4 linked regions of the Macaca mulatta genome follow. Each later gene encodes a partner of the first gene's protein in a complex. Links are inferred from orthologs where the notes say so. Each region holds a gene or a part of one and is shown in the gene's direction. Other genes may lie near its edges.

Region 1 (4,581 bases):
CCTTTCTATCTCTAGGCAAGTTACTTAAACCGTGTGCATCGGTTTCCTGATCTATATAAAGAAAATAAGAGCATCTCCTCAAAGAGTTATTCTGAGGATGAAATGGGTGACCACAAGTAAAGTGCTTAGAGCAGTAAGTGGAACAGTAAGCTCTCCATGAGTGTTAGTTGTTGCTGTGATTCGTTGGAGAAGCAGCCTGGGGAAGGAGAAAATCCTGTCCTGGCTCTACAATTTATTTGCTTTGTGCCTTTGACATGGAAAAACTGAGATCTCAATTTCTCCATGTAAAGTATTAAAATCTTGATAATGCATGGTGTGCCCCTCTCACAGAGTGGCAGTGAGGTTCAAATGAGCTAATAGATGTGAAAATGCTTTGTAAACTATTAAAAAAAACTGCACAAATGTAGGGTAACAGATGCCATTTCTTTCTGTCTATACCTGTATGCTTGCACTCATTTTGTATTACGGTTACTTATTTTTATCTGCCTCCTGCAGTAGATTTGAGCTCCTCGAGATAGGAATCACATCTTGCTGTCTCCTATATCAACTTGTACGTGATGTCTAGCTTGATGCCTGTACATGGCATGTACTCAGTACATGGGAAATTGGAAGAGGAGCAGTCTCCTTGGGTATTTTTTCGGGTGTATGTTGCAGTAGCTTGCTCCCCTTTAGACTGTGCGTGCCAGGACTATTTCCCCCAACATGAGGTGTAGCTTCCCAGAGGGCGCACTGTGAACAGCATCTGCAGGCAGGCATCCAGCACCAAGCTGAGCACTCATGTACAGACACTAAATGTGGGGACACCCTGTCCTGAGGCTCGGATTCCCGGTGCTCAGCCAGCAGCCTTTCCAATCCCCATGAGGTCTCTGAACGGGTCTCCTTACTCCTGGAGAGACTATTCATTTAGTTGTCCTCGATAGTCCAAACTAGGGAAACTGAGAAATTGAAACTTGGCATGTTCAGCGAAGTCCAAACTAAGGACGCTGAGAAATCGAACCTTGGCATGTTCAGGGACCTCAAGACCTTGCTTCTTTTTCTTCCATTTCAAAATCTTCCCAAAATGGCAACTTTGGTTTTTGTGCCCCTGCTCCCAGCTCCCATCTTTCACGAATTGGGGGTTCTCAGAGGATGCCATCTGCCTGACGGTGTCATGTATCTCTATATCCTACAAGCTAGCCACCGAATCCTGCTCATAGATTAAGCACTGGATACATACTTGCTGATTGGAATTTAAAGAAAACCAAAATAAGTAAACTCGACGGGAGATTAATTGCCTGGGAGTCGGTTGACTGCTTGACTGAAGCTGGATTTTTTTTGGGAACCGCTGGCTGCCTTCGCATTTCCTGATGGACGTGGGACAGGTCAACAGACAGCCCAGAGCGGCAGATAACTTTTGCCCACGCGTCATTCATTTTTTTGGAGCGTTGGCTTGAAATTGAGGGGGGTGTGTGTGTCTGGAACCGACGTGCCTTCCGTGCGCCTCCGGGGTCTCTGCACTCTCTTTCAATGGGCTGATTACAACACAGAGGATGTGGACAGCGGAGTTTTTCCTGTTTGATGTCACACTGCTACCCTTTAAAAGTCTGATGGCAAAAAGGAGGGAATTCAGTCTAGGATCCTCACACCAGCTACTTGCAAGGGAGAAGGAAAAGGCCAGTGAGGCCTGGGCCAGGAGAGTCCCGACAGGAGTGTCAGGTTTCAATCTCAGCACCAGCCACTCAGAGCAGGGCGTGATGTTGGGGGCCCGCCTCAGGCTCTGGGTCTGTGCCTTGTGCAGCGTCTGCAGCATGAGCGTCATCAGAGCCTATCCCAATGCCTCCCCATTGCTCGGCTCCAGCTGGGGTGGCCTGATCCACCTGTACACAGCCACAGCCAGGAACAGCTACCACCTGCAGATCCACAAGAATGGCCACGTGGATGGCGCACCCCATCAGACCATCTACAGTGAGTAGGACTTCAAGCTGGGAAGAAGGGGTGCGCCCCTGTTGTCCATCTACAGGGGGCTTGGGGAGGTTGGGGACTAGACTGGAGGGCTAATCCAACCCTCCAAGCTTTCTGCCCAGGAACCACTTATTGTCTGTGTGTGTGTGTGTGTGTGTGTGTATTTAAATCTTAGGGGAAGATTCTGTCACTCTCCTAATTAGTATTTGCTGGTTTTTCTAACATGCATACTTTTTGTTTAAACTAAAACCCTTCCCACAGTAGGAGCCATATTCCCTTTGCCCCATCAAAAGATTCAGAAAATATACTGAAAGAAAAGCAAGGAGTCTAAGAGAAAAAGAAGCCAGGCAGATCAACAGACACTAAGTTTCAGCTCCTGGACTTCAGGCTGGGTTAACTAGGCAGGTTGGAAAGAAGATTCCCAGGTCATACCCAGATTGTAATAGATAAATCTGGGGGCTCTTTCCAATTCTGGCCTTATAAAAATTCTTGGAAAAATGTATTAAACACAGACTGTCCAGGAATGTTGTCTTGGTGAGAATGGCCAAGTATACAACCCATCCACCCATTCATTTGTCCATGCATCCATCCATCCAACCTTTAAACTTTAACAGGTTTAAAGGCTGTTTCAGATACTCAGGTACCCCGGTACCCAGTACGCATTGGTGATTCTTCTCCGTGGAACTGAAAGGTGTCCAGTCAGTAGCAAATCAAGCTAGTTAGAAACTTATTGGCAATGTGAGACAACTGGAATGTTTTTAAAGATCAGGTTTGTGGAGAATCGGATCACAATCCACAATAATCAATCCATTAGCAATGATTCAAATGAGGGCCACTTTGTGCGCACCTATATAAGGGGTAATGTGGTGGGAGCAGGGATATTGAAAAAGACTGGATCTTCTATTTTAAGAAAACATGTGAATACCTCTAAGAATATATAAAAATGCAAAGTGATCCAATATAGCTCAAATTAAGGGAAAGAAAAATTAGTTAGACAATCTCTAACTAAAGAAAACATAGGAATTATGATTTGCCTTTTATTGTTGTAATAAGTTAATTATTTTTGCTGTGACCTTGCTGTGTGTGAGGCATTTATTCTTCTAGGAACCAAAGGTCCTTAAACCTGGTTGCAAGATATATAACATGCAAAATTAAGTTGCAAGATATATGACATGCGAAATTGACAGTTTAAACCTCCTCAAGTGCTAGATGCATATTGATAGGAGATAAAAGGAGAGAGAAAAGTTCTCTCCAAATACCAAACAGGTTCCAGAACTCTAGAGGATATACTAAGACTCAGGAGTCAACATCTTGGAAACCAAGTGTGAGTCTCGTGGCAAAAATTTCAATTAAATCTGGATATACTTGATGAACCCCAAGTGTTGTTCATTTTATTCAATGGATATTTAACAGGATCTACAATGTGCCTGGCATTCTATCAAGCTCTGTGACTGAAAAGTAAGACACAACCCCTCAAGGACCTTGTGGTCTGTCGTCCTGCCTTGTCAGCTAGCTCACTACCAGACTTTAGGAAACGCGACTTTGCGCCTCTCATGGAGTGGCCACTCTTACTCTAATTCAAGACTCTATGTGATTTAAAATGCAGAATAGTAGATGATGGTAAATTGTTTTGATTCTCTTAGATGGAAAGGGCGGCATCCAACTAGAGAATGTTTACACAACTTGTCTCGAATCCTGGAATCCCATTGCTGAAAGGAACTCCTTAAAGACGTTTCCTCCTGAACAAGAATTAGGGTAGAACGGAACAGGCTGGCTACGGTGGGGAGTGAGTGTGAAGAGTCGACCTCCTGGGCTGGCATTCTGAACTGTAGACCTTTTCCTTGAAAACCCACCTCGTATCAGGCCCCAAGGGATCACTGAGTGCTAGCTGAATTAAAAGGATTGAGAGGCAGCAAAACAAATGGAACTGACTTCAGATCTTTAAAAACAGAAATACGGTTTTGTTTTCTTAGACACAGGCACTAGCTAAACATTGCATCTTTAAAGAGTTAAACACGAATATGGGGAGGGGAACTTAGGGTCAGGGGAGTGGGAGAAAGATCTGCTTTTCCTAGTCTATGTAGATAACTTTTTGTACTGTTCAATCAGTTGTCACGTGTATTATGGGGGGGAAAAAGTGCAGGAAAAAAATTACACAATACAATTAAAAGTTACCCAAAAGAGGCCAGGTGTGGTGGCTCATGCATATAATCCCAGCACCTTGGGAGGCCAAGGCAAGAGAATCACTTGAAGTCAGGGGTTAAAGACCAGCCTGGCCAACATGGGGAAACCCTGTGTCTACTAAAAATACAAAAATTAGCTGGGCGTGGTGGTGCGCGCCTGTAATCCCAGCTACTTGGGAGGCTGAGGCAGGAGAGTTGCTTGAACCCAGGAGGCGGAGGTTGCAGTGAGCTGAGATCACACCACTGTGCTCCAGCCTGGGCGACAGAGCGAGACTCCGTCTCAAAAAAAAAAAAAAAAAGTTACGTAAAAAGAAAGAGGAAAGATTAATGCACGTAGATAAGAATCACAACTAATTAAATGTCTGGTGAAGGATTTGTAATGACCTCATCAGTGACTGTTAAGCAATGTTTTTACACTGACGGAAACCTAAAATGTGAGGGGTATTTTTTCCACTCC
Region 2 (4,709 bases), on another chromosome or scaffold:
TAGAGTTATTATACAAATCAGATATATGATTGGCTAGTGTTTGAACAAGGCGATTTGGCTAACTATGATTGGTTCCCGCCATTTCTGATATTTTGGTTCAAACTTTGAGGCGGGAGAGCAGGTTTATGGCAGCAAGAGTTTATCTTACTTAAACACGTCTTGTGACCTTGCCTCAGAACTTACAAAACCTCTGGTATGTGCAAAACAAAATCTCTGGTACGTGCAGAAAACCAGGTACTCACAGAACTTACGAAATCTCTGGTATGTGCAAAGATTAGAGAGCAGAACAAGGGTGTAGCGGGTGGGGGGCGGGTACACATCTATCTTTGTGTCCTTTCACTAGTATTACAAAGCAAGCGCTGCATGCCAGGCTTACATATACTGCTAACATGTCTACTTTTTGTTTTTTTGAGATGGAGTCTCGCTCTGTCGCCCAGGCTGGAGTGCAGTGGCCGATCTCGGCTCACTGCAAGCTCCGCCTCCCGGGTTCACGCCATTCTCCTGCCTCAGCCTCCCGAGTAGCTGGGACCACAGGCGCCCGCCACCTCGCCCGGCTAGTTTTTTGTATTTTTTAGTAGAGACGGGGTTTCACCGGGTTAGCCAGGATGGTCTCGATCTCCTGACCTCGTGATCCGCCCGTCTTGGCCTCCCAAAGTGCTGGGATTACAGGCTTGAGCCACCGCGCCCAGCCACATGTCTACTTTTTGCAACAACCTCTTGAGGGTGAGACTATCATTTGCCTGTTTCACTGAAAAGACAGTGAAGACCGAGGCCTTGTGTGATGGTGCTGAGAGCTGGGCCTATGACGTCCAGCCCTGTAGTCTGTGCTCTGAACCACTTCACTCTGCTTCTTTCTCCATCCTCACAACAGAGAAGTCATCTAAGAGGAGCTTGCAAGTCCGGAGGGCTTCCTGGAGGAAGTGAGCTGAGAATAATATAAAATTAACCAGACCAAAGGGCATTCCAGGAAGAGGGAATGGTACCTGAAACTGCCCAGGAGTAGCAGGGAGCCAGGAGGCGTGGGTCATGGCAATAATCTATGTATAAAGAGCTATGGGAAGCTATAGGAAAATTTAAGGGAGTGGCTGACACAGTCAGATTTGTGTTGTAAGTATCACTCCCCAGGTTGCGCAGAGAACAAATGAGGGAGCCGAAGGAAGGGGTTCTCCTATCCACTGCACGGTACTGCGCAGAAGACAGGGGAGCCAGGCATTCCCTGAGGGGTGAAAAGCAAGCAGTAGAGCTGGGTAGTGGACTAGAACTTAGAAGCCTGGCCTGGAGCCTGGGTGGGGCGAAAGAGGAGGAGCCTGAATGGGGTGTGTATAGGGGGTGTGTGTAGGGGTGTGTGTATAGGCTGGGGCGGGGTCCCTGGAGTGGGCTGACTGGGTCGGCGGCGGGTCTCCAGGTGGGCGGGGCTCTTGGCCACCTCCCCCGCCGGCCACACCTCTCTCCGGCTCGAGCTGGGCCAGGAGGGGTGGGCCCGAGGGGGCGTGGCAGGAGGCGGGCGGGCCCGAGCAGGAGGGGCGGGCCCGAGGGGCGGGGCAGGAGGTGGGCCGCCCGCGGCCACGCCGCCGTCGCGGGTACATTCCTTGCTCCCGGCTGAGGAGCGCTTGGGCTGTCTGCGGACCCCGCCGGGTGCACGGGTCGCGGCCGGCTGGAGCTGGGAGTGAGGCGGCAGAGGAGCCAGGTGAGTAGGAGGCAGGCGACCAGGACCCTGTGCAGGGCGCGGAGTCACGCAGGCTCGAGGTGAGCCGGAACCCTTGCGGGCCCGGGCTGCGCTCCCAGCCGCCAGGGGGCGAGCGGCGGCGGGGCTGCAGGGACTGCCCCTCCCGGCGCAGGGGACCTGGGCGTCCGCCGGGCGGCAGGGGGTGGAGGGGGCGGTAAATCAGTAACCCGCAGTGCACACAGGGCCTTTTGTCCCGCTCCGTCCAAAGAGCACCCTGGCCGCGGAGCTGGTTACTCATTGCCCACCGAGGCGGGGGCAGGCCGGCCCTGTGCAGCTACCCTCGGGACCCATTGATTCGCACCTCCCCCCAGGCTGGCCCGGCAAGGGTGGGGGAGGACAAGCTTGTCCCTGCGGCTGTCTTCGCGCCGGCGGCAGAGATGAGGGAGCTGAGGCCCCGAAAGTTTCAGTCACTTAGCGCCCGGGGGCCTCCACCGCGAGTGCGGGAGGCTGTCTGATGCCTAAGGCAGGCCCTCTGTTCCCACGTGTGGGGTGGTCGGTCAGCGGTCAGCAGCCACGGGTGACTTTTCCACGGACTCTGATATCAGGGCAGCCTGGGGTAGGAATAAAATCCCCGGGCCTCCCCAGCCACTCCCAGCCCAAGCTGTGTACTCAAAGAGCTGCCCTCCCTGCCAAGCCGAGCTTGGTAGGGGGTTTTACCAAGGGGGATCCAACTGGATTTGAGAGTTGAAGTGGCCTCAGAGACAGCAGTATCTGAGTCAAATAGAGAAGAGGAATGGGGGGCACAGAGGGATGGGCAAGAGAGCATATGTGACCAGTTTTGAGAGCCAATGGCTTCAGCGCTCCTGAAGGGACAGACGGTGTGACCAAAGAGATAGGCAGCGGAACAGAGGGAGCCCTAGGATGCTGAGCTGAATCCTGCTGGGCACAGGTAACCATTAAGGGCTTGCAAGCTGGGGGCATGACATGGCAGACTTGTAGTTTTTTAAAACTCTGCTGGAAGATGAAGGTTGAAGAGCCCAGGGAGAGGATGTTTCCAAAGGCCCATGCAAGAGATGGCCATGACCTGCCCTGAGTCAGGGCAGGGGAAGCCAGATGGACTGGAAGTGGAGTGGCAGTGAGCAAGGGTAAGGAGGTGTGATAGGCTTCCCACACAGGGTAGATCCAGAGACACCAGTGCCACCCATAGGCCCCTAGGACTGCAGTGATCACAGTATTCCTTTGTCCCAGCTGAGACTCGGTTCTGAGTGTTCTGTTTTGGGGAACAGAGGTGTCCTTGGTAGCATTTGGAAGAGGATAGCCAGCTGGGGTGTGTGTACATCACAGCCTGACAGTAACAGCACCCGAACCAGAGGTGACTGGCTGAGGGCAGACCCAGGGCAACAGGTGAACAGTTCTAGGGCCGGGCACAGGGAGAAGAACATTCCAACACTCTGTGTGCCCAGTGCCGATGCACGTTGTCTCTTCTATCCTCAAAACAGTCCTATGAGGATAGTAACCCAGAGAGAGACAGAGACAAGGAATTACAAGTTGATGAGAGTCGGGATTTGAACTTGGCTCTGGTGGATGGATAATTACGGTCTGTATTCTTTACAAAACCGTGTGTACCTCGGATGGAGTTGGTGCATGACAAGCAGAGGTATTCAGGGATGCGGTCCTGCTTGCTACGGAAGGAGCTGCCTTGTCAGTGGTGGGCGCCCAGCTCTGGAAATGTCAGTAATGCTATAAGGAGTGGGGATTGGATCAGATAACATCCAGATGCTGAAGTTTGGCCTTGTATCATTTTTCACTTTGTTTTTTGGCTCTTCGGCAATCAATTCATTTATTCAGCAAAAAATAAATTACGTGTGCCAAGAGCATGCAGAAGATAGTCTCCGTTCTCTGCTTCCCTCCAAGAAAAGAATCCCAAAACTGCTTTCTGTGAACGTGTGCCAGGGTCCCAGCAGGACTCAAGGAGAGCAGGAAGCCCAGCCCAGACCCCTTGCACAACCTACTGTAGGAAGGCATCAGGCTCTGGCTACAGCAGAGCTGGTTCCAGTCTGCACTGCCACAGCCTGGCCAGGGACTTGGACACATCTACTGGCCACTTCCTGTCTCCATTTCCTCATCTGCAAAATAAGGGAAAGCCCCCGCAAAGGTGCATGTGGAGCAGGAGCTCTTTTCCCCCCCTATTCTAGGAAGGCAGTTGGTGGGAAGTCCAGCCTGGGCCCCTGAGAGCTGCGGGAAGGAGATGCGGCTGCTGTCGGCCCTCTTGGGGGTCCTGCTGAGTGTGCCTGGGCCTCCAGTCTTGTCCCTGGAGGCCTCGGAGGAAGTGGAGCTGGGTATGGCTTCTGAGGGGGGAGAGGGTGGCAGGGGTGGGAAGAGTGGGCACCAGGAGGGGGCTGCTGGGCTGAGCAAAGCTGGAAAGGATCCTTGCCCAGGCCCTGAGAAAGTGGCAGCAGGGCAGGGCTCAACCACTGAGACTCAGTCAGTGCCTGGCTTCCAGCAAGCATCCATGTATCTCTGTGTCTGCGAGAGAGGACTGGCCTCGCAGGGTGCAGGGCCCTAAGCTGGGCCGCAGAGCTGGTGGTGAGCTCCTTGCCTGGGTGTGTGCGCGCGCGCGTGTGTGTGTGTGTTCTGTGCACTGGATGTGTGACCTAGGAGGTCCAGGCAGCATGTGTGGTGTATGCATTATGAGGGTGATATGCCCCAGTGCAGCATGACCCTGTATATGGCACCAATAGCATGTGCCGTGTGTGTGTGTGTCCATGTGTGTGTGTGTGTGTGTGTCTTGGCCAGTGTCATGTGCACTAAATGCTGTGTGCGTGACATGCCCCAAGAGTGTGGCATTTGCCCTGGGTGTGGCATCCGCAGCATGTGGCTGTGCGGGTGTCAAGGAGCGGTGGCTCCTCCAGCATGCGTCGCGAGGTGCTTGTGCCCTGCATGTGTGGCGTGTTCTCTGTACGCAGGAGGCTGCCTCAGATGGGGCTGCGGGGTCTGCTGACCTCTGCCCTCTGCCCACAGAGCCCTGCCTGGCTCCCAGCAT
Region 3 (4,006 bases), on another chromosome or scaffold:
CAGATCTCCAGGAGGCTAAGTGGTGCTCGGCCAGCTTCCACCCCATCACTCCCTTGCCATTTGGACTTGGTACTCGGCTTAGTGATTAGAGCCCCCGAACAGGTGGTGGGATCCCTGCTCTGCTGGAGAGGAACCCAGGTGCACTGCAAGGGAGCTGTGCGAGGGCAGCCAGGGAGCCCTGGAGCTCTGTGAACTTGGGAACCTGCCACTATTAGAATGTGACTTTCACAAAACTAGGAGTTGAGAAAGTGTTGCTGAAATTTTCTTTATGCCAATTTTGCACCTCGGGGTGCGGACTTGGCACCAGATCCCCAAAGGTGATAGGAAGGACTGGAGAAAGATCTGGCATGAACCCTGATGGGTGAGATAACATGTGTGTCAAGCCTGTTCTTACAAGAAATAAATACTTACTGGGGAGAGGTGTTGGCAGCTGCCGGGGTGTTGGGTGCCCTATCTGCTCTGGTTAGGGAGGGCAGCCCCCAAACCTTAGTGGACACATGCTAGAAAAATTCTGACTGTGGAGTGTTTAGCCCATCGTTTGGAAATAGCATCTAGCTACAATGTGTCTAGACCTGCCTGGGTTTCCCTGTAGTCAGCCGTCCAAAGAAGAATACACGCTGCCTGGCACCAGCACACCCAGGTGGTACCACAAGTTGAGAGAGAGCCTTTGAATGTAGGACGGAATTAAGTTAAAGAGGAACAGCTGACCCTGATGGAACCACCCAGTGTGAAGGCTTCCAGGCAGTGGGAGCAGTGCTTTGGGGAAGGAAGGAAACACGCACAGGAACTGTTCTTAAACAGTTTCCATCCCACCAAGAGATCGTCACTAAGGGAGAAGTGGGACTGGTATCCCCGTGGGGAGGGTGTTTGTGTTCATCTGGAACTGCACTAGCCTTGGCGAAATCTAGGGGTCCCTAGGAGGAACCTCAGTGCCCCTTCTTCTTCCCATAGATGCTCTCCCCTCCTCAGAGGATGATGATGATGATGATGACTCCTCTTCAGAGGAGAAAGAGACAGATAACACCAAACCAAACCGTATGCGTGAGACACTGTTTCCTATCTTACTGCCCTTTGGGTCTGGGCGTTGGGTTTAAGAGGGGAGGGGAAGGCTGAAAGGGGAGGAGGAGAGGGCACATGGGGTCACGATGCCTGTTCTGCTAAGTGCCAGGCACTGCTCACAGGTGTTGGGCAGATGGGCAGGGCACCCCCAGGTCCTGGCCTGGGCCCTGCTCCTGAGCCTGACCAGCTGCTCCTCCCCACCCTGCCTCTCTCTCTCGGCTTTCCCCGGGCAGCCGTAGCTCCATATTGGACATCCCCAGAAAAGATGGAAAAGAAATTGCATGCGGTGCCAGCTGCCAAGACAGTGAAGTTCAAATGCCCTTCCAGTGGGACCCCAAACCCCACACTGCGCTGGTTGAAAAATGGCAAAGAATTCAAACCTGACCACAGGATTGGAGGCTACAAGGTACGTGTGTGTGCATGCTAAAGTTGAGTAACGGGAACAGGGGAGGCCGAGCTAGGAAGTCCTGATTACACGCTTTTCATTGTTTTAAGTAATACTTTCTACCTATACAGGTTATGTATTAAAATTTTTAAATGCAAAAAAATGCAAATAAAGTTTAAAAATTTCTTCAGTCTTCTTTCTGTGTAATATGGTTTTTACATAGTTGATCACGTCATGTATAATAATTTCCTTGCCTTGTCATTTGTTAACATGAGTGTTTTCATGATATATTTCAAGCATGAATGTTTGAAACATATAAGATTCCATTATTTTTAAATCCCATAATTTGGCTGGGCACAGTGGCTCACACCTGTAATCCTGTCACTCTGAGAAGCCAAGGTGAGCAGATTGCTTGAGCTCAGGAGTTCGAGACCAGCCTGGGCAACATGGTGAAACCTCTCTACTAAAAATACAAAAAATTAGCCATGCGTGGTGGCAGGCTCCTGTAATTCCAGGTACTCGGGAGGCTGAGGCAGGAGAATTGCTTGAACCCGGGAGGCAGAGGTTGCAGTGAGCTGAGATCATGTCACTTCACTCCAGCCTGGGTGACAGAGCGAGACTCTGTCTCCAAAAAACAACAAAAAAGTCCCATAATTTAATGAACTATTTTGTGATATTAGGTATTTTCTGGTTTTTCACCATAATAAATAATGTTGCAGTGAATCTCTTGTCAGCATTTTTAAGTGTGCTTCCTTAGGACAGATTGTTACAAGTGAAATTAACAACTTAAAGGGTGTAAGCATTATTTATTTATTTATAGACGGAGTCTTGCTCTGTCGCCCAGGCTGGAGTGCAATGATGCCATCTTGGCTCATTGCAAGCTCCGCCTCCCGGGTTCATGCCATTCTCCTGCCTCAGCCTCCCGAGTATCTGGGATTATATGTGCAGGCCACCATGCCCGGCTGATTTTTGTATTTTTAGTAGAGACGGGGTTTCCCCATGTTGGTCAGGCTGGTCTTGAACTTCTGACCTCAAGTGATCTGTCCTCTTGGGCCTCCCAAAGTGCTAGGATTACAGGCATGAGCCACCGCACCCAGCCAGAAACATTTTAAATTAATTCACCATGCACTCACTACATGCAAGACACCATGCTTTAAATGCTACAAGACAGTGTTCCTGCCCATAAAAATTTTCCAGTCTCATCAGAGTCAAATGTCCATGAGTGGCTACCGTAAAAAGCAGACTGTGATCAGTGCCCTGGTAGGCAGAGGAAAGGGTGAGCACGGTTCTGACCAGAGAGTGGACTGGAGGAGATGGTTTTTGAAATGAGCTGTCAAGGGCAACAGGGGCTGGATTCTTAGTATAATAGGGGAGGTGCACAGTTGGGAACATTCCTGGTGTATTTGGAAGTGTTTGCAGAAGGCACATCTGTCCAGATCACGAATGACCTTGAACGTCACAGTGGAGACTTCCAGAGTCTTTACACCCCATCTACCACCTTGCAGAGTGTGAACGGGCTGGTAGTGGGGGCAACCCACGCCTTGTCCTAGCCAACCCTGCAGCCTGGAGCCCTGTGCCACCAGACTCTGATATGGAGGGCAGGTGCCACGGGGTGCCAACATTGTCATGGGGCTTCTGCCTGTATTTTCCTTCAGACTCTGAAAGTATCCCTTCGGCATTTCCCCTCAGGTCCGTTATGCCACCTGGAGCATCATAATGGACTCCGTGGTGCCCTCTGACAAGGGCAACTACACCTGCATTGTGGAGAATGAGTATGGCAGCATCAACCACACCTACCAGCTGGATGTCGTGGGTAAGAGGACAGAGGCGGCAGGAGGAATGCATTTAGTGGGAAGAGCTGAGCTTGGAGAACACAGCCGGGGTGTCCAGGTTTCTTAGGGGCAGAGTCAGGATAGCGGTTGGCACTTCTTGGCTTTGTCACCTTGAGCAGGTCACTTCTCCCTTTTGAGTCTCACTTTTCTTATCTGTAAAATAGAGTTAAGATCAGACAGTAACACATGTCAAAGCTGGTTGTCACTGTGAAATGGAAGGTGGTTTCAGAGTCTGTCCTGAAGGAGATGCTGTTGGAGAGGTGTTAAATGCAGCACAACAGGAGCTGTCGCTTAATGCCAGCAATGTGCCAGGCTCCTTAAATACCTGCTCTGTAATGCTTGTGGCACACCTGCAAGGTAGGTGGTATTAGTCTAGCTCTGCACAGGAGCCCAGGCAGTGAGGCTCAGAGAGGTGAGATACCTTGCTGATGCAGAACTGTACACCTGTGCCAACTTCAGGGCATCACAGGAGACTCTAGGAAGAATGTTGAGCCTCTTGGAGCGATTACCACAGCGTTTTCCTTCTAGGAGTTCTGAAAATCACTCCCTAGAGATCATTGGGTACAGAGTCTCTCAGTCAGTGTTCTTCTTGTGATAATATGGTCTAAAAAGGAGATTGTGGCCAGGCGCAGTGGCTTATGAGCTCCAGGTGGCGTAATGGGATTATTCATGCCTGTGATCCCATGACTTTAGGAAGCCAAGGCAGGAGGATTGCTTGAGGCCAGGAGTT
Region 4 (4,433 bases), on another chromosome or scaffold:
CTGGGGACATGGACTTGGCCAGAGCAGGAAACAAGGGTGGCCGAGGACAAGTGCTGAGCCACCAAGTGGGCACAGAGAGGTGGGCATGAGGGCTCCCTGGGAGCAGAGCCCTTCCAAGGCCCTGAGGTCAGTCCAGGGACACCCTGGCCTCTGGGAGCTGCAGGGTTGAGCTGTGCATGGGCTGGGTAGGGTCAGCAAACAGCCAGTCACTGAGGGACTTTTAGCGCCCATTTTCCTGATGACTACATTTAGTCCTGGAAGCCACAAGCCAGGCGGGCAGCAGACTCGGCCGGCCCTCCCCCCAGCTCACTGGCTCCCATGGGCTCCGGACCCCCTTGGGCTTTGCCTGAAGATGGGAGCAGTTGGCCTTTTCCTTGTGAGGGTGGACACAGAAGCTAACAGTCATGTGGGGTAAGGGGACCCAGACACCCGCAGCGTCCCCCGCAGGGCAGTATCTTCCCCTCCTGGGAACCCACCTCACCAGTCCCAACCCTCCTCAGCTGGACTCTGAGCCCGCCCCGTGGAGCCTAGAACCTCGGGCCAGCTCAGGCTCTGCCACCAGCTCTTCGTTATTCTCCCTCAGAGCCGGGCTGCGCTCCCCAAGCCAGGGGTCTCCAGCCCCTGCCCTTCATTCTAGGCCGGGCAGGCAGCCAGTCCCAGGCCTGTGTCCTCCTGGGGGGCAGGGGTAGGGACCTCTCGGGGCTGGGCACTCAGGCGGCTTAGGTGCATGCGGCTCGGCCCCAGGTTAGTCAACGCAGCCTCTGCTCCTTGCCAGTCAGGTACGCAGGCCGCACCGGGCTGCCCCAGGCCTGCGGCGCACACCGGAGGCTCGGCCTGGAATGCCGCCCTGCCCTCCTCCACCTGAGGAATTCCCGCTCACACCACAGGGTTCAGCTCCGCGGCATCTTGGCGACGCCTCCTGACATCCCGACCCCCGCCGAGACCTCCCCTCTGAGCTCCTGAGCACAGCCTCAGGGGACCCGAGCTGCGCGCTGTGCAAACGGAAGCCTGCGCTCGCCCTCGGTGCGCCCCGTGCCCACCGCCCACCGGGCCGCCCCGCGGTGCGATTGGGGGCCTCGCCCGCCTGCCCCGGCTCCCACGCCCTCGAGACCGCCGGGCGCCCCCGCCCGGCCACGCCCCCTCGGATGCCCCGCTCCGCCCCGAGGGGGCGTGCCTTGCGCCCCGGCGAGTCGGGCGGGGGCCGGGCGGGAGCGGGGCGGGGCCGGGGCGGGGCGCGGACCGTCCCCCACTGGCTGCGGCGCGCGGGGCAACCCAGGCTCAGTGCGCGGTGGCGGCGGCGGCGGCGGTGGCGGCGTCGCGAGCAGCTGGCGCCGCGCGGTCCTGCTCTGCCGGTCGCACGGACGCACCGGCGGGCCGCCGGCCGGAGGGACGGGGCGGGAGCTGGGCCTGCGGACAGCGAGCCGGAGCGGGAGCCGCGCCTAGCGAGCCGGACTCCGGCGCCCGCCAGGTCGGTGCTTGGGTCCGGGCAGGCGCGCGGAGGGGTCCAACGGTGCGCGCGGAGGGGCCGGGGCGCGGCAGTCGCGGAACCACAGCAGTCCCTGCGGCGGGCCGGGCCGGGGCGCGGGCTTCCCGCTCCGGAAAGTTTGCCGCCGCCGCCGCCGCCCTGGGAGGGCTCTGCAGCAGCCAGGGAGGGAAGGGGGAGGAGGGAGGAACCGCGGCGGGGAGGAGGCGGCCGGCGCCAGGCGGCCCGGGAGCTCTGGGCGGCGGCGGCGGCGGGCGGGGCGGCTGGGGGTCGGAGGGGTCGGGGCGCAGGAGCCGGCCACCGCCGCTTTCGTCCCTACCCGCGCCGCTAACGAGCTGCCCTCCTCCTCCCGCAGTTTCCCAAGCGGCGCCCGCCTCCCGCCGGTGCCCGCGCCGGGCCGTGGGGGGCAGCATGCCCGCGTGCGCCGCCTGAGGACGCCGCGGCCCCCGCCCCCGCCATGGGCGCCCCTGCCTGCGCCCTCGCGCTCTGCGTGGCAGTGGCCATCGTGGCCGGCGCCTCCTCGGAGTCCTTGGGGACGGAGCAGCGCGTCGTGGGGCGAGTGGCAGGTAAGAAGGGACCCACTGGGCACGGGAGGGGCCGGCCCGTGCGGGCAGAGGCGTTGGGGACGGGAACCGGCCCCAGGTCGGAGGGAACTCCGGGTGTGAGTGACGCCCCGGGGTCAGCGCCCGGATTCCGCTGTCTCCGTCCCGGAGAGCGCGGCCAGCGGTAGCGCGGCGACTTGTGGGGCGCCTGGAGCCGCAGGTACCCCCCAAATGCGAGGCCGCCACTGGGAGCCAGGCCGGGGGTTGGCGTCCGCAGCCCCGTCCCCTGCGGCTCCCCAGCCCTGGCCTGTCGGGAGGGCGCGGGTTTCCCCATTTCCACGATTCCCGCTGTTCTTCGGGTTCTGCGCAGACGGAAAGTTCCCATTGTTGGCGTCCCCCTCCCCCGGGCCCCAGTTTGTGGCGAGCTTCGGCCAAGGGGAGAGGCCGGACTTCTGAGGGTGGGTGTGCGCGTCAGCGAAGCCCGGCCCCTGCCCGCCGGACGAGGCTGCAGCCTCCAGCGCCCCCGCTGCCGACCCTGCCAGTGCCTGGGGGCTGAGGGCGCTTCCCCGTGGGTGCGCGCCGAGCTCCAGGCGAGCGAGGAGCGCGTGTCCCAGCGTCGCGGGCCCTAGACCGGGCTGGCGGTCCAGGTCCTGCGGGACGTCAAGTGTCTGAAGGGAGGTGAGGGGAAGGGGCGCCCGGCCCGCCCTGCACGCGCGCCGCGGTTCCTCGCGGGTCGGGCCGAGAGCTCCGGTGCCGCCGCCCCGTACACGCTGCCGGCTCCGGGCGGGCGAAGGGGGCGCGCACAGCCCAGCCCGGCGGCCGCGCGGAGGGAGGCCCTGGCCCGGTGAGTTCGCGCCCCACCCGGGCCCAGGCCCGAACAGCCGCTCCTTTGTACCTCGGCGCGGCCACAGACCGCGCATTGATGGCGGCGCGGCGGCTCGCGGGGAGGTGTGAGCGGCTGCGGGCGCGGCGGGCCGGGGAGGGCGCCGGGAGGGCCGAGGCAGATGGCGGCCGCCCCGCCCGCGCCCCCGCGCCCCTTTCTCCGGCGGCGGCTGCAGCCTCCCGGAACAATGTCATTTTTTTTATGAATGAAAGTGGCCCGGCGCTTGAATGTGCGTGTCATTCAGCGGCGTGACAGGGGCCGTCGGGAGGTCAGCGCGCGCTTTTAGCGCCTGCTCGGGCGGCCCCGCTTCCAGGGGTGCGGGAGGGGCGGCCGCGGGGGGAGCCTGGCTTTCGTATTCTCATTCAGATAAAGATATTACTCCCTACGGCCCGGGAATGTCAGCCAGCCCCGGGGAGGGGCGGCGGCCAGGCTACAGAGCGTCTCCCGGATCCCCGGCGGGCGCGCGGGGCCTCCCCTTCTCGCCCCTGGAACGCCCCGCCCCCCGCCTTGGGGCGGCGACCCCGCCCGCACTGGAGCTGGTGAAACAGGTAGTGAGTTGATCGGTCAATAAATTTAATCCGGTTCCTTAACAAGATGGGCCGGGCAGTAAAAATACAAAGACCTCGTGAAATGGACTGAGGTCTAGGCTGGCGCTTGCCTGGGAACATAAATTATGGAGCCTTGGCTGGCAGTGGTCAAGGGCGGTGGGGAAGGTTTTGGCCCCTGGACTGCCCTGGCCACCCCAGGCCCTGCCAGGACAGCCGCCATCTCCCCAGAGGGCTGTGTTCCTGGTTGGAGCCTAGGGGGACCCCCCAGGGTGCAGGGAGGAAGACAAGGTCGGCTCTCCCACAGCGCCACACCCCCCAGCAGGGGTCTCGGGGTGCAGGGTCTTTCCTGAAGGTGCTGACTGAATCCTCCCCCACCCCTCCTCTGCCGGGCTGGACTTTGAGCCGCGTGGGCCTCTGGGTGGTTCATTAACCTGGGCTGAGCGTGGCCTCCAGGTCCTTGTGTGAGCCTAGGAACCCCTCGTTACTCACCCCCCAGCCCCCCAGCTCTCAGGTACTTGGAGCTGGAACTGGGAATGGGGCACCCCTTGTTACAGCTGAGCTTGGGTGGGAGTCCAGGGGCTTGGGGGTCTCCTGGAGGAGGGGGGTCCAAAGTCACCCCATCTAGGGAGGCAGGCAGCCCTCACCTGAGTGACTGAGGAGTGAATGAGCTGGGAGTGGAGCCACCTTTGGTGGGGTAAGGGGTTGGCCTGGACCTCCAGACTGCCAGCCCAGGCTCAGGTGCCCTCTTCGAACCTCAGTTTCCTCACCTGTCCAAGAGAACCGATAATGGCAGGCTGTTTGAAGGATTAGGCCGGATAACCCTGGCAAGCCCTCTTTAGCCTGCCCAGCCCCCAGATCCCTTTTTTCCTGACTTTATTGTGAAACTCTGAAGAGGAATGTCTCCAGGTGGGGAGACAGGGAGGCTGGACTTTTGGAGGCCTCCTCCTCTTAGGCTATTTTATGGCCCCTGCCTGGCA

Evidence for each region.
Region 2: the proteins of FGF23 (region 1) and FGFR4 are in contact, whole or in part, in a cryo-EM structure (PDB 7YSW), measured with the Homo sapiens proteins. The link is inferred for Macaca mulatta from reciprocal best matches to the Homo sapiens genes FGF23 and FGFR4. Residues at the interface, in NP_065689.1 of Homo sapiens: Leu32, Gly33, Ser35, Trp36, Gly37, Tyr43, Ala45, Thr46, Ala47, Arg48, Asn49, Ser50, Ile75, Arg76, Ser77, Glu78, Asp79, Ala80, Gly81, Val83, Val84, Tyr93, His117, Gln118, Thr119, Asn122, Gly123, Tyr124, Asp125, Leu158; in NP_001341913.1 of Homo sapiens: Glu156, Lys157, Lys158, Leu159, His160, Ala161, Val162, Pro163, Asn166, Asp240, Leu242, Glu243, Arg244, Ser245, Pro246, Lys272, Val273, Tyr274, Ser275, Asp276, Ala277, Gln278, Pro279, His280, Ala308, Asp309, Ile310, Ser312, Gly336, Asn337.
Region 3: the proteins of FGF23 (region 1) and FGFR1 are in contact, whole or in part, in a cryo-EM structure (PDB 7YSH), measured with the Homo sapiens proteins. The link is inferred for Macaca mulatta from reciprocal best matches to the Homo sapiens genes FGF23 and FGFR1. Residues at the interface, in NP_065689.1 of Homo sapiens: Leu31, Leu32, Gly33, Ser34, Trp36, Gly37, Tyr43, Ala45, Thr46, Ala47, Arg48, Asn49, Ser50, His52, His66, Ile75, Arg76, Ser77, Glu78, Asp79, Ala80, Gly81, Val83, Val84, Tyr93, Phe108, His117, Gln118, Thr119, Asn122; in NP_075598.2 of Homo sapiens: Glu159, Lys160, Glu162, Lys163, Lys164, Leu165, His166, Ala167, Val168, Pro169, Lys172, Gln244, Asp246, Val248, Glu249, Arg250, Ser251, Pro252, Val279, Tyr280, Ser281, Asp282, Pro283, Gln284, Pro285, His286, Ile287, Ala314, Gly315, Val316.
Region 4: the proteins of FGF23 (region 1) and FGFR3 are in contact, whole or in part, in a cryo-EM structure (PDB 7YSU), measured with the Homo sapiens proteins. The link is inferred for Macaca mulatta from reciprocal best matches to the Homo sapiens genes FGF23 and FGFR3. Residues at the interface, in NP_065689.1 of Homo sapiens: Ser29, Leu32, Gly33, Ser34, Trp36, Tyr43, Ala45, Ala47, Arg48, Asn49, Ser50, His52, Ile75, Arg76, Ser77, Glu78, Asp79, Ala80, Gly81, Val83, Val84, His117, Gln118, Thr119, Asn122, Gly123, Tyr124, Asp125, Leu158, Ser159; in NP_000133.1 of Homo sapiens: Glu157, Arg158, Asp160, Lys161, Leu163, Leu164, Ala165, Val166, Pro167, Arg223, Asp244, Leu246, Glu247, Arg248, Ser249, Pro250, Val277, Tyr278, Ser279, Asp280, Ala281, Gln282, Pro283, His284, Ala312, Gly313, Ala314, Thr316, Thr317, Asp318.

What each region holds. Positions count from the first base shown.
Region 1 is NC_133416.1:5,266,162-5,270,742, reverse strand, and holds the start of FGF23 (fibroblast growth factor 23 precursor), read left to right. Parts: upstream 1-1,665; 5' UTR 1,666-1,733; coding exon 1,734-1,944; intron 1,945-4,581. UniProt on the Homo sapiens protein: Regulator of phosphate homeostasis. Inhibits renal tubular phosphate transport by reducing SLC34A1 levels. Up-regulates EGR1 expression in the presence of KL. Acts directly on the parathyroid to decrease PTH secretion. Regulator of vitamin-D metabolism.
Region 2 is NC_133411.1:186,050,381-186,055,089, forward strand, and holds the start of FGFR4 (fibroblast growth factor receptor 4), read left to right. Parts: upstream 1-1,502; 5' UTR 1,503-1,687; intron 1,688-2,029; exon of another isoform or gene 2,030-2,615; intron 2,616-3,861; 5' UTR 3,862-3,914; coding exon 3,915-4,005; intron 4,006-4,687; coding exon 4,688-4,709. UniProt on the Homo sapiens protein: Tyrosine-protein kinase that acts as a cell-surface receptor for fibroblast growth factors and plays a role in the regulation of cell proliferation, differentiation and migration, and in regulation of lipid metabolism, bile acid biosynthesis, glucose uptake, vitamin D metabolism and phosphate homeostasis.
Region 3 is NC_133413.1:40,368,945-40,372,950, reverse strand, and holds part of FGFR1 (fibroblast growth factor receptor 1 precursor), read left to right. Parts: exon of another isoform or gene 1-138; intron 139-951; coding exon 952-1,035; coding exon of another isoform or gene 1,036-1,041; intron 1,042-1,292; coding exon 1,293-1,465; intron 1,466-3,133; coding exon 3,134-3,257; intron 3,258-4,006. UniProt on the Homo sapiens protein: Tyrosine-protein kinase that acts as a cell-surface receptor for fibroblast growth factors and plays an essential role in the regulation of embryonic development, cell proliferation, differentiation and migration.
Region 4 is NC_133410.1:1,910,160-1,914,592, forward strand, and holds the start of FGFR3 (fibroblast growth factor receptor 3), read left to right. Parts: upstream 1-1,247; 5' UTR 1,248-1,468; intron 1,469-1,838; 5' UTR 1,839-1,940; coding exon 1,941-2,049; intron 2,050-4,433.